Linked DNA regions of Cricetulus griseus. The protein of the gene in region 1 interacts with the protein of each later gene in a pairwise test. Links are inferred from orthologs where the notes say so. Each region holds a gene or a part of one and is shown in the gene's direction. Other genes may lie near its edges.

Region 1 (3,647 bases):
TAAAAACAGGTACAAAATGAAGAGGATTAAGGTGCTGGGGTGGCGGAGCATGTGAGATGGACTTGGCCGTGATGGTTGTGCCTCTTTGACTAGGATGAGCATGTCTGCAGCTGTAGTCCAGGCTCACCCCTCTTAGTGCATGTGAGTGGGTGTGAGGCAGCTTTGCTGGGAAAGCTAGAGTCCCTAGATTTTCCAGGATGGACAATCAATGAACCTATGAGCCAAGTTACTTCTAAGGCATAATCCAGTTCCACACATTCTAACTGGTTCTTTGCCAGTAATGAAACTGATTTATGAATTGTGTCATTTTGTGGACTCAATTAGTTGATAGATGCCGATTCAGTGGTATAATTAAATATCATCGGAGGGACTTGCTCATTGGCAAGTAGACCTCTGCTATCCACTCCTGTTCTGGGCTTCTCTACATGAAGGGAGGTATGCAGTTTACCTCTGCAAGGATGTGTTAATAACACTGTTAATAACACTGTACAAGCATATGAAGAGGTTGCCTAGGTAGAGGAATTGTGCTTTTAAAGAGCTCAGATTTAAGACAAAATAAAATTTCTCAAGTACAGTCACTCTGCCTGCTGATCTAGAAGTTGGGGGTGGCATGGTACAGCATTCTTTTCTAGTCAGCAAGCTTTGTGGCCACCCTTTGTCATTTTCCTCCTGTCTACAATTATTCTGTATGAAAAAGATGATGTATAAGAGGCACACACCTCCTCAAAAGAACCAAGAGATAAATGAATTAGAAAGCAAGGAGAGGAAGGTACCTTTTAATATCTCTTGCTATTCGGCAAGCACCTGAGTGAAGAATGATGAGGGGCGAAGAGAAGTGACATACAGGAGTATTTTTGCATAAAGTGGGCACTTAGCTACTGCTGGCTCTGTGCAGCACAGAGAGTCGGTGACTACAAATGGTACCTGATTTCCATCTCCATGAAAGCTCAGGTCCAGGCCTATTCTTGATCTGCTCTGGTCTCCCGAGCCAGACACTAACTCCTGTTTTGGTCTCCGTATGTTGGTAGCCTCCCATACACCAGGCTCTGTGTAGGCATGGGAGGACTTAGTCAATCATTCTCACTGTGTGCTAAAGAAAACAGGAAATTAAAAGAGCGAAATTGTAGGTTGTCTTTGGCTAAGTAACAAACAAAACTAGCTTATATAAGGGAACAGGTGAACATTGGTAAGTAATGTGTAGAGACTCCCAACAAGACATTCCCACATGCTCTACTTATGTGCTAATTGAGACCCAGTCTTGTGTCACTATGAGTTCAAGAGACATACTGATCCTCACTCTGTCCACATGCCCATTCAGCCTCTGTCCTGTCACACATGGAGCAGAATCCCATTTGCACTCACTGAGGATGCTTCTGCTTCTCTGGCCTCAGGTGACATTTTATTGAATGTGAACGGGATTGAGCTCACAGAGGTCAGCCGAACAGAGGCCGTTGCCATATTGAAGAGCACATCCTCCTCAGTGGTACTCAAAGCCTTGGAAGTCAAGGAACAGGAGCTCCAGGAAGACTGCAGCCCAGCAGCCCTGGACTCCAACCACAATGTGACCCCGCCTGGTGACTGGTCCCCATCCTGGGTCATGTGGCTGGAATTACCACAGTGAGTCCTGATTTAACACCCCTACAGATTATGTTTCTTAAACCACTCTTTCACCGTCTTGGGCTGATTCATGGGCACGAGCATCTTACTAATATGACCCAGTCTTGTTTGTGGGGCTGTTTGAACAAATTCTATCTTCTGTAGGCAAATGAAAGTCCGAATAGATATCTTAGGGAGTGTGTGAAAATCTATGGAGCACCTTCTAGATGCTTTCCTCGTTTGCAGAGTTATAAGGTGGCTTGTAAAGCAGGGAGTGTAGCTGACTGATAAAAACTCAGCCTGTGTCTACACTCACAAGCTGAGCTCTGCTCAAGTCATTTTCATCCTTGCATGGAGATGACTGGGAGCTGTACTAGCTGCAACCTCACTCAGGTTTCTAGAGGCTCTGACTACACATATAGAAGTAGAGCAGAACAAGGTTAAGTGTCTGGTAGTTGAGGATTCTTCGCAGAACATCTCTCTTCTGTGACTCTCCTGGAAAGTTCTTTAGGAAGCAGCTGGGTTGTCATTTTACTGAGGTACAACTGGAGCCTTACAATGAACTATAAAATGACCTGACCCGCTGACTTGAGATGAGGATTTGGACAGAACCCCACAAAGTGGCTATGTACATGAATTGTGATCATTCAAAGGATAGAAAAATTTGATGTTTGCTTCCCTGGACCAGAGCAAACTTTACTGGCCTTTAGATGTAAAGGTGTAGCTTAGATGTTAAGAATGGTGTCACTGAAGATGGATGTACTGGAGTAGGATGAAAGAGTGGAAGCAGGTGGGGTATTTGGTTTTGAAACTTTTTCTTGAAGGTAGAGATAGCTCTTACTTAGTAGCTTCACATACAATTTGATCCCGTTGTATTTGAGTCTCCACTAGTTGATTCATTACTTTTAAAATCAGTAAGTCTTTAAAAGTCCTTAGAAAGTGGAACACTGAGCATTGAGGCAATTTAAACACTTTACAACTGAGCCTAAGTAGGAGACTATTATGTTGAGTAAATTAATACACACATACTATGTGAATTGGTGTTTTGCCATGGGTGTCATGTCTGCTGGAACTGGGATTAAAGACAGTGATGAGATGTCATGTAGGTGCTGGGAATTGAACCTGGGTCCTCTGAAAGATCAGTCAGTGCTATTAACCGTTAAGTCTTATCTCCAGCCCTAAATTTTTCTTTAAAAGAGATTTTGGAACTATAATCCCAAGCCCATTTGTACCTTTTGTTTGAAAGCTACTTTGCCATTCTCCTCACTGTTCACATGTGCAAGGAGAACATCAAGCCCATGGCGCCTTACTTTTCCCATGAGCCACCTGGCATTGGCAGCAATTCTCTGCTCCTGCTGGAATGTCTGAACTGCACTCATTCCCTCCAAGAGTAAAAGGAAATGTGATATGATGGCAACACAAGAAGATAGGGACTTCCAGAACCTCAGAGCCTCTTCCTATCCTTCCTTTCCTCCTCCTCCCTGCAATATTTAATGGCATGGTGAGGAGGTCAGAGGGTACCAGAGCAGAGGGAGCAGGAAGTCAGTATCCATCCTTTCCAGAACCTTCAAGTCACTCAGCAGAGGTCACCAGCATTACCAACGTCTTGAGTATTTTTTTCAGGGAAAGACTATGTCAGAGGTTGATCTTTTCTGCAAAAGGCTGGCGAGCTTGTGCTTAGAGAGTATGGGGCCTTGGCAACCACTCACTGCTGTTGTAGCATAAAGGCAGCCATAGACCATCTGTGAATGAAAGCTTGTGGGCTTGGCTGCCCATGGCTTAGATAGCAATGTACTCACTCAAACACAATGGAGGCCTGTGAGCTCATATGGTACAAAGCTTTTTAAAACTTACAAAGAAACCTAAGAATTGATTTTGGGAATCACGATAGTCAGGGCACCACCAATGTCCACTGCCTCCAGGGATGGGTCAAACTGTACATCTGTGAAGCCAGGTGGCAGGTTAGGTGGCTGTCACACCATTGGGTCACTTTTGTTCTTTAGGGATGGTACATGTGAAAGTCCGGATCAAGCTGTGTGAAGACAGAGCTG
Region 2 (4,307 bases), on another chromosome or scaffold:
TAACTCTTCTTGTAAATATTTTCAATGTGCTTAGGAAAAAGGATCAATCCTTAAATGTGTGCTGCACAGGGTAACCAAAACCAACCAACCAACCAAATAAGAAAGGGACATTTGTGAGGCTGGAGAGACGGTCAGTGGTTAAGAGAACCAGCTGTTTTTCCAGAGGACCCGGGTGCAATCCCTAGAACCCATATGGCAGTTCACAACAGTCTATAACTCTGGTTCCAGGGGATCTGACATCCTCACACAGACACACATGCAGGCAAAACATCAATGCACAGACAATGAAAATAAAAATTATATATATATATAGAAGGAAAGGGGCAATTGTAGCAATCCAGGACATTATGGCAGGCTGGGGACAAGGAAGATAGAGGTAGAGGAATTCCAGATGTATTTGGGAGGTAAAAATATAACTTGTGTTGCACTGGGGTTAGGGTGAAAGGGAAAGGTAGAAGAGGCATGGTGGGTGACCTAGAGCATAATGAGGTGGCTGGGATGACCTAAGTTTTTGTTTCAAGCAACCCCACAGATGACAGAGCAATAAAATGGAGTTTTGTGAGAGATTAGGGAATCCCCTCAAGAATGTGTCTTTGCTTTTCACAGGCTGGCGATACCGAGGCTTGGGGCTGGGACTCAGCAGCACCTTCGGGCCCCCCACCCCCACCCCGCGCTTCCGACAGAGTTTGTGTAGCCTCCACTGTCCTATCACTTGATCTATATAGACCAAGCTCTTGAACTAACAGAGATTAGCCTGCCTCTGCTTCCGTAGTGCTGAGAATAAAGGTGTGCGCCCCAACTGCTCTACTTACCTCTGTTGTTTTAAGTAGAATTGGTTGGCTTCAATCTCGACCAGAAGCTACCGCTGGTCTTGAATTATGATTTTCCTCCTCCACTTTCCAAGCGCTAGGTTACAGACAAGTGCCACTAGGCTAGGCTTGCACGCTCCCCGCCCCCCCCCAAACAACTCCCAAGATAATCACTGTAACTTTAAACCAATATCAGGGACTGGAGACATGGCTCAATAGTTAACACTTGCTTCTCTTGCATAGTACCTGGGTTCAGTGCTCAGCACCCACATAGTTGCTCACAACCATTAGCAACTACAATTCCAGGGGATTTGATGACTTCCGCTGTCATCAAGCACATACATACATTCAGGCAGAACAGTCATACTCATGAAAAAATAAATTTAAAAACCTAATTAAACCAGTAACCCAGTGAGCGTTTATCTCGGTGTCTCAGGGTCTTTGCTTGCAGCTGGCTCTGCCCGGGCTTCGCCATAAGGAGCGTTTCTGCTGCGTTTCTGTATTTCACCTGTGTGTCGGTATTTCATCATGCAATGCTTCCCAAAAGGCTCCGCCTCGAGGCTTGAGCAACCGTTTCCTCCTAGTTTAGTTGGACCACAGCGATTGACAAGTCAGCTCTCCAATCATCATGCCGAGTGACCACATAATTATCAACTAGGTCACAGGGGCGGTGCGGAGGCATAGAATGAATAGGGTGACCAGGAAGTGCGAACTCAGACTGGAAAGGCGGACGGCAGTAGCAGGCCCAGCTGTTTTCGGGAGGTGACAGGTGACTGGGCCTCTGGCCTCCCTAATTCCCTTCTTTTCTCTGAATAGGGATCAGGGGTCTGTTTATATATGGGAACTAGGAATTCCGTTTGCCCCCGCACCCCCCCCCGTGTGTGTGTGTGTGTGTGTGTGTGTGTGTGTGTGTGTGTGTGTGTGTGTGTGTGTGTGTGTTTCCTTGTCTAAGCATTTGAGGATTTGCTCTTTTTTTGGTGTGTGTGTGTGTGTTTCCTTGTCTAAGCGTTTGAGGACATGGAGGTTCCTTCCTCTTGCTGCTCTAGGGCGGGGTCCTTTTCTAAACTCCTCATCGGGGGCGGGCCGCAGAGTTTAGGTGGTTTGAGGTTCTCTCTCGCACTGCCTGTGCTTAAAGACCTCCCGTTCCTTTCCGGGAAAAGGGAAATGAGTGATGGGGAGAGTTAGTTTTCTCCAGGTGTGGCTTGAGGTAGTGAAAATGGGAGGGGCCCATAGAATTTCTGTGGTTTTGACCCTGGGCTAGAGTAGGCCTAGAGGGCGCTAAAAAGAGGAAGTTCTTATTTATTTTTGTTTTTTGTTTTTGAGACAGGGTTTCTCTGGGTAAGCCTGGCTGTCCCAGAACTCTCTCTGTAGACCAGACTGGCCTTGAACACAGAGATCCGCCTGCCTCTGTTTAGCACTGGAACTAAAGACGTGGGCTACCACACGCCTATTAGTTAGAGCCTTTGTAAGGCGGAGGCTGGAGGGTGGGGCTCAGACTCTAGAAAATTCTCTTCCCCTCCTAGGACTTTCAGATTTTTGCCTCTTTTCCTTCTTAGGCTGGAACTAACATCTGGACATGTGGAACCCTAATGCTGGTAAGTACCTGGGGGCTCGCCTCTGCCCCACCCAGCCCATTTTGCAATGGAACAGGCAGTTTCTGTATCTACAGCCCCCACCCGCAAGCAAAAGTGAAGCCTTGGACCACTGCTACCAAGCTTTCCCCTTTCCAACAGTGTTAAGGAATGCAGTGGATTTTGTTATTTGTTGACAGAGGTTCTGGAAAGTTCTAATTTTTATTCCCTGGTTCTTTTTCCAGGGCCTAACCCATATCCACCCCAAGCCTTGTGCCCAGGAGTTCCCAATCCTGCCTGTCCACCACCTATCAACCCTGCCTTTCCTCCTGGCCCCTGTCCTCCAGGAATACCCCAGGGAAACCCAGCTTTCCCTCCATGTCGCCCCCCTTACCCTGTACCACAACCAGGGTGTCCAGGATACCAACCCTCAGGGCCCCACCCTCCCCCGTACCCACCACCTGCTCCTGGCATGTGCCCTGTGAATCCTTTGGCTCCTGGAATGGTAGGCCCAGGGATGGTGATAGACAAGAAGACACGGAAGAAAATGAAGAAGGCTCATAAAAAGATTCACAAACAACACAAGCATGGAAAGGTCAGTTTCTGAGAGCATGGCTGGGGAGGGAAGGGGTGTCCATCAGAGGGACTGGAGTGAGCGGGGTTGGGGAAGGGGCTCACGGTTTGTGGGTGTGGGAGATGGCAGGTGACTTTTCCTTTATGTAAAAGAATTCTCCTGATAGGAGTGTAATAATACTATCGAGGCATCAGATCTCTCCTGTTTCTGAAAAGGAAAAGCTAAGCATTGGTGGCTATCAGAACCAAGAGTCCTCTCCCTTCTCTGCCTAATTCTTTCCCAGAAACATCCCCAACCCAAGACCCTCCAGGTGTATCTTTTGGCAAGTTGGGCATACCCCCTGAGGTTGTCTAATTGTCAATTGAGTGAGTCTTTTGACAAAGTAAAACCACATATGATAATTAACAGAATGGTAAACATGGACTTGGTTCCAGGGTTTCCTTTATCTCCTTCCGTATTCTCAGGGTGTTGTTAATTACCTAGGCATTTCTTCTGTGACTCAGCCTCCAACAAACCCTGGGGTATTTATCTTCCTTCTGCAGGAATGCTAATTATTATTAGGGAGGGTGGGAGAAGTTTCCTTGAGGACTTGGGAAGGAGAGGACCTACCTGGGTCTCTGAGCTTCACTTAGATTTTATGCCCAATGTTTGCTTTGTGGATTCAGGCTCTAGTCCTATTCTAGGTCTTTGGTGGAACTGTCAGGAGCAAAGAACGAGAGACCAAATGAAGGAGAAAACCCTGGAGAATCTAAACATGTTTTTAGTGGTAGTTGATAGAGGTGTGTCTGTATGGGTCCTTGAATGGGATATCTCCAGCCATCTGTCTCTCCCACTTTCCTGTTTCCCCCTGGTGGGGTTTAGAGGTACAGCATCACCTCACACAGCTGCCCTCTCTTAGGTGCATAGATTCTAGTTTGTGATGGTCCTTACTTGCAGCCAATCAACAGGTATTTATAAGGTAACAGCTGTTTTATAGATCGGTGCTATGTTTATTTATTCCATGTTCCTGGCCTTGCCTAGCTGTGGAAAGAAGAAACTCCATCTGAAGGCAACAATATGTTCAGTTCTGTGCAGTGGTGGAGGGCAGTTTAATCTGTTCCATTATGCTCCTTGCTGAAGGAAACTGTTGATTTTGTTGGTTATGGGGCAGGATGGGCTAAGACTCCTGCCTACTAGATACCTGGGTGGAAGGGCGGGGCATCGAAGAATGGCCCCTGGAGGGATGAAAGGTCATTTGGATCTGATGCTATGTTCTTTCCCCTTGCAGCATTCCTCCTCTTCCTCCTCCTCCTCCAGCAGTGACTCTGACTGAATGCAGGGCCTGGACCCTCCTCCCCTCGTCTCACCAGCTCT
Region 3 (3,647 bases), on another chromosome or scaffold:
CGGTAGAGACCAGCTGCACCAGTCAGTAACTGCCCTCGAATGCTGTCTGTTGAGGCCTTCTTCACGTTAGGCAAGCTCTCTACCCATGAGCTACATCCTTTAAGTGTCTTCCTTTTTTTTCTTTTTTTAACAATTTTATTTATTTATTATGTATACAACATTCTCCTTCCATGCATATCTGCATACCAGAAGAGGGCACCAGATCTCATAACAGATGGTTGTGAGCCACCATGTGGTTGCTGGGAATTGAACTCAGGACCTCTGGAAGAGCAGTCAGTGCTCTTAACCTCTGAGCCATCTCTCCAGCACCTACTTTTGTTTTTTTAAGGCAGGACCTTTTTACTTACTTTCTGTGTATCCCTGGCTGTCCTGGAACTCACTGTGTAGACCAGGATGGCCTTAATCTCAAGAGATCCACCTGCCTCTGCCTTCTGAGTGCTGGAATTAAAAGTATGTACCACCCTGCCTGGCCTTGGGGGATTTTTTGTGTGGTGTGTTTTTTGTTTGTTTGTTTTTGAGGCAATCTCATGTGGGTCGGGCTAGCCCTGAACCCACTGTGTATCTGAGGGTGATTTTTAACTTCTGATTCTCCTGCCTCTACCTCCTGAGGGTTGAGGTCACAGATGTGTACTGCCATGCCTGGCTGATGAGTTCTGCTTTATTGAAATGAAACACCCTCCTCCTCCCCACACTTGGGTTGGACCCAGCACTTGCTATATCTCATCTCTATCAAAAGTGACACAACTCACTTCAAGAGTGTGGTGGCATAGAGATGGGTTGTGACTGGGCCTGCTGCCTGTGTCCTTTGAGCTTTAGTACAGAGCCAGTGGCTGGTGCACTGGGGCTCCATCCTCACCTCTTGCTGGATGGGGTCTGAGCCCTAACCTGTCTGCACTCTCTCCCCATCCCTGTGGATGGGCCCAGGAATGGTACTTGTCGGGGTGATGTGGAATAACAGCCCTGAGTACCAGTGTCCTCCTGCAGTGGCCCTCACTGTTAGTTCTTGGGCCCAGTACCTGGGAACTTGGTGGAGTCATCCAGCTCTCGGATGCTGAACACTTAACTCAGGCATCTTCCTGGCCTCATTTAACAGGGGAGCCTGATCTCTGAGGGAAGCCCCTGACTCAGAATCCACACAGCATGGCCTGGAGCCAGCCAGTGACTCTTCCCTTCCTCCCACACAGGTGCTCACTCCCACATCCGGGGTCTGGGACTGGATGATGCCTTGGAACCAAGACAGGTAGAGTTATGGGGCAGGGGGCTGGGTATATGGGCTGCTCCTGTCATGTTGGGCAGGGCTATTCCTATCTTCAGACCTGTTTTGTTTTGTTTATTTCAAGACAAGATTTTTCTGTAGCTTTGGAGACTTTGAGCCTTTCCTGGAACTGGCTCTGTAGATCAGGCTGGCTTTGAACTCACAGAGATCCTCCTGCCTCTGCCTCCTAAGTGCAGGGATTAAAGGTATGCACCACCACTGCCTGGCTCAGACCTCTTGATTCTGTGATGAAGGATTTCAACCATACACAGTGTTTTATACCTGCAAGCCCAATCTCTTGAGTTCAAGGCCAGGCTGGTCTACAGAGTGAGACCCTGCCTCAAAAAGAAAAAAAAAATCAAGAAGAAAACCAGTATTTTTTATTTTTTTCCAAGCAGGCAAGGTGTGGGCCAGGGTGTGGTGGGAACACGTCAGTGGCTCTGGAGGCAATCAGTCACCTTCCATGTCCTCTCATCTCCTACCCTCCAGGCTTCCCAGGGCATGGTGGGGCAGCTTGCTGCCCGGCGTGCAGCCGGCGTGGTGCTGGAGATGATCCGAGAAGGGAAGATTGCAGGGCGGGCCGTCCTCATTGCTGGACAGCCAGGCACTGGGAAGACCGCCATTGCCATGGGTAAGAGGCCTCGTGGGGCAGACATTCTCCTTCTGTGGCGGTCAGGGACATGTCAGCTGTTTAACAGACAATCATAGAGACGTCAGAAGGAGGCTGTCTGGGACCACTGAGAAGTTATATGGGGTCCTCTGTCTTAACATTTTCTCCTTGTTTCCATGCTAGGGTCACCTTGTATTCCAAGAAGGCTGCTTCAGCTGTAGCCTTCCCCACTGTAGTCCAGTCATGCATCCTTCACAGCTGTCCTGTAAGGAAGCTGTGTGCTTCTGCATTTCTGGTTCTATCACATGGTTTGCAGAGCAGGCTGGGGCTTTGGAGGTTGCTAGTCTTGTCTAGCCTGGGGATCCACCTACCTCTACCTCCCAAGTGCTGGGACAAAGGTGTGTGCCACCAGGCCAGCATTATTGTACAATTTTTTAATTTGGATCATTACTCTCTTAATAAAGTGAGGGTCTGGGGATGAGGAAGCAAATGAACACTGGACAAACAGACAGACAGCCTTCTCTGTAGCAGTCCACTAGTGATTGAGGGTCACAGCTGCTGCTTTTGCTTGTGGAACTCTGTCCATCCTTCAGAACCCTCCTGGGGCGTCTCTGCCTCTGAGACTCCCCTGCCTCACCTGTCTTTGCACTCCCACCTCTGATAACCCTGTGGGACCTGGCACGGAGAGTCGAGCTCTACCAGCAATCAGTTCAGAAATGGCACTTACCTAGAGAGGTGGCCATGTCTCCGTGCCTTGCAAGGTGATGCGTGCTAATGTGGAGACTAAATGGCTGATAGGGTGGGTGGCCATCACTGAGTCAGGGATCTGGGGCCAGCAGCCACAACTGCCTGACCACTGCTCCCACAGGCATGGCTCAGGCACTGGGCCCCGACACACCCTTTACAGCCATCGCAGGCAGTGAGATCTTTTCTCTGGAGATGAGCAAGACTGAGGCTCTGACTCAAGCCTTCCGCCGTTCCATCGGTGTCCGTATCAAGTGAGTTTCCTGTGTGATATCCATTCTGCTTGCTCGAAGTCCTGGTCAGGGAGCCAGGGTCTCAGGGGCCAGTCTGACCCAGGCTCTGTTGTCTGTCCCACCAGGGAGGAGACAGAGATCATTGAAGGCGAGGTGGTGGAGATCCAGATCGACCGGCCAGCCACAGGCACGGTGAGTCTCTGTGGCTTCCCAGTCCCAACACCTCCAGCCAAAGGGCAAAGGATGATATAGATTTTCTTGTAAAATGAGAAGCTAGCTAAATGAGTGTGTCAGCTGATGAGTTGCTGTGGGCACCAAGAATCAGAACTTTCCCCCAGCGTCCTTCACTCTACGGCCACCCAGTTGACCTACCTCTGTGTGACACTTTGTGCTTCCAGTGTCACCCAGAGGTGTCTGACACTTGGCTTTCTTCTACCTGGTTGTAGGAGTTTCTGTTTTCTTTTTTCTGTGCTGGGTCAAACCTAAAGCCCCATGTTTGTTAGGCAGCTGCTCAGTTGTTTCATTTCATGTCTTTAAAGTTACTCGAAGGGCTATGAGGTGGCTAAGTGGGTATTTGTTGCCAAGCCTGGTGTGAGTTCAGTTCCCACCACCCACATGATGGAAGGAATCAAACTCACTAGTTATCCTCCAACCTACACTGTGCACGTGCACCCATGTATGTGAACATATGTGATTTGGGGGGGAGGGGTTGAGACAGGGTTTCTCTGTAGCTTTGGAGGCTGTCCTGGAACTAGTTCTTGTAGACCAGGCTGGTCTGGAACCCACAGAGACCCACCTGCCTCTG

The links. The genes of interacting proteins can lie anywhere in the genome.
Region 2: the proteins of Lnx1 (region 1) and Prr13 interact in binary tests that used the Homo sapiens proteins (3 or more experiments, as listed by UniProt). The two-hybrid records come from large-scale screens. The link is inferred for Cricetulus griseus from reciprocal best matches to the Homo sapiens genes LNX1 and PRR13.
Region 3: the proteins of Lnx1 (region 1) and Ruvbl2 interact in binary tests that used the Homo sapiens proteins (3 or more experiments, as listed by UniProt). The two-hybrid records come from large-scale screens. The link is inferred for Cricetulus griseus from reciprocal best matches to the Homo sapiens genes LNX1 and RUVBL2.

What each region holds. Positions count from the first base shown.
Region 1 is NW_023276807.1:141,117,578-141,121,224, reverse strand, and holds part of Lnx1 (E3 ubiquitin-protein ligase LNX), read left to right. Parts: coding exon 1-9; intron 10-1,391; coding exon 1,392-1,617; intron 1,618-3,647.
Region 2 is NC_048595.1:398,839,943-398,844,249, forward strand, and holds the start of Prr13 (proline-rich protein 13), read left to right. Parts: upstream 1-1,461; 5' UTR 1,462-1,578; intron 1,579-2,365; 5' UTR 2,366-2,385; coding exon 2,386-2,404; intron 2,405-2,625; coding exon 2,626-2,975; intron 2,976-4,221; coding exon 4,222-4,266; 3' UTR 4,267-4,307. UniProt on the Homo sapiens protein: Negatively regulates TSP1 expression at the level of transcription. This down-regulation was shown to reduce taxane-induced apoptosis.
Region 3 is NC_048599.1:154,334,778-154,338,424, reverse strand, and holds part of Ruvbl2 (ruvB-like 2), read left to right. Parts: intron 1-1,184; coding exon 1,185-1,240; intron 1,241-1,744; coding exon 1,745-1,886; intron 1,887-2,733; coding exon 2,734-2,863; intron 2,864-2,967; coding exon 2,968-3,034; intron 3,035-3,647. UniProt on the Homo sapiens protein: Possesses single-stranded DNA-stimulated ATPase and ATP-dependent DNA helicase (5' to 3') activity; hexamerization is thought to be critical for ATP hydrolysis and adjacent subunits in the ring-like structure contribute to the ATPase activity.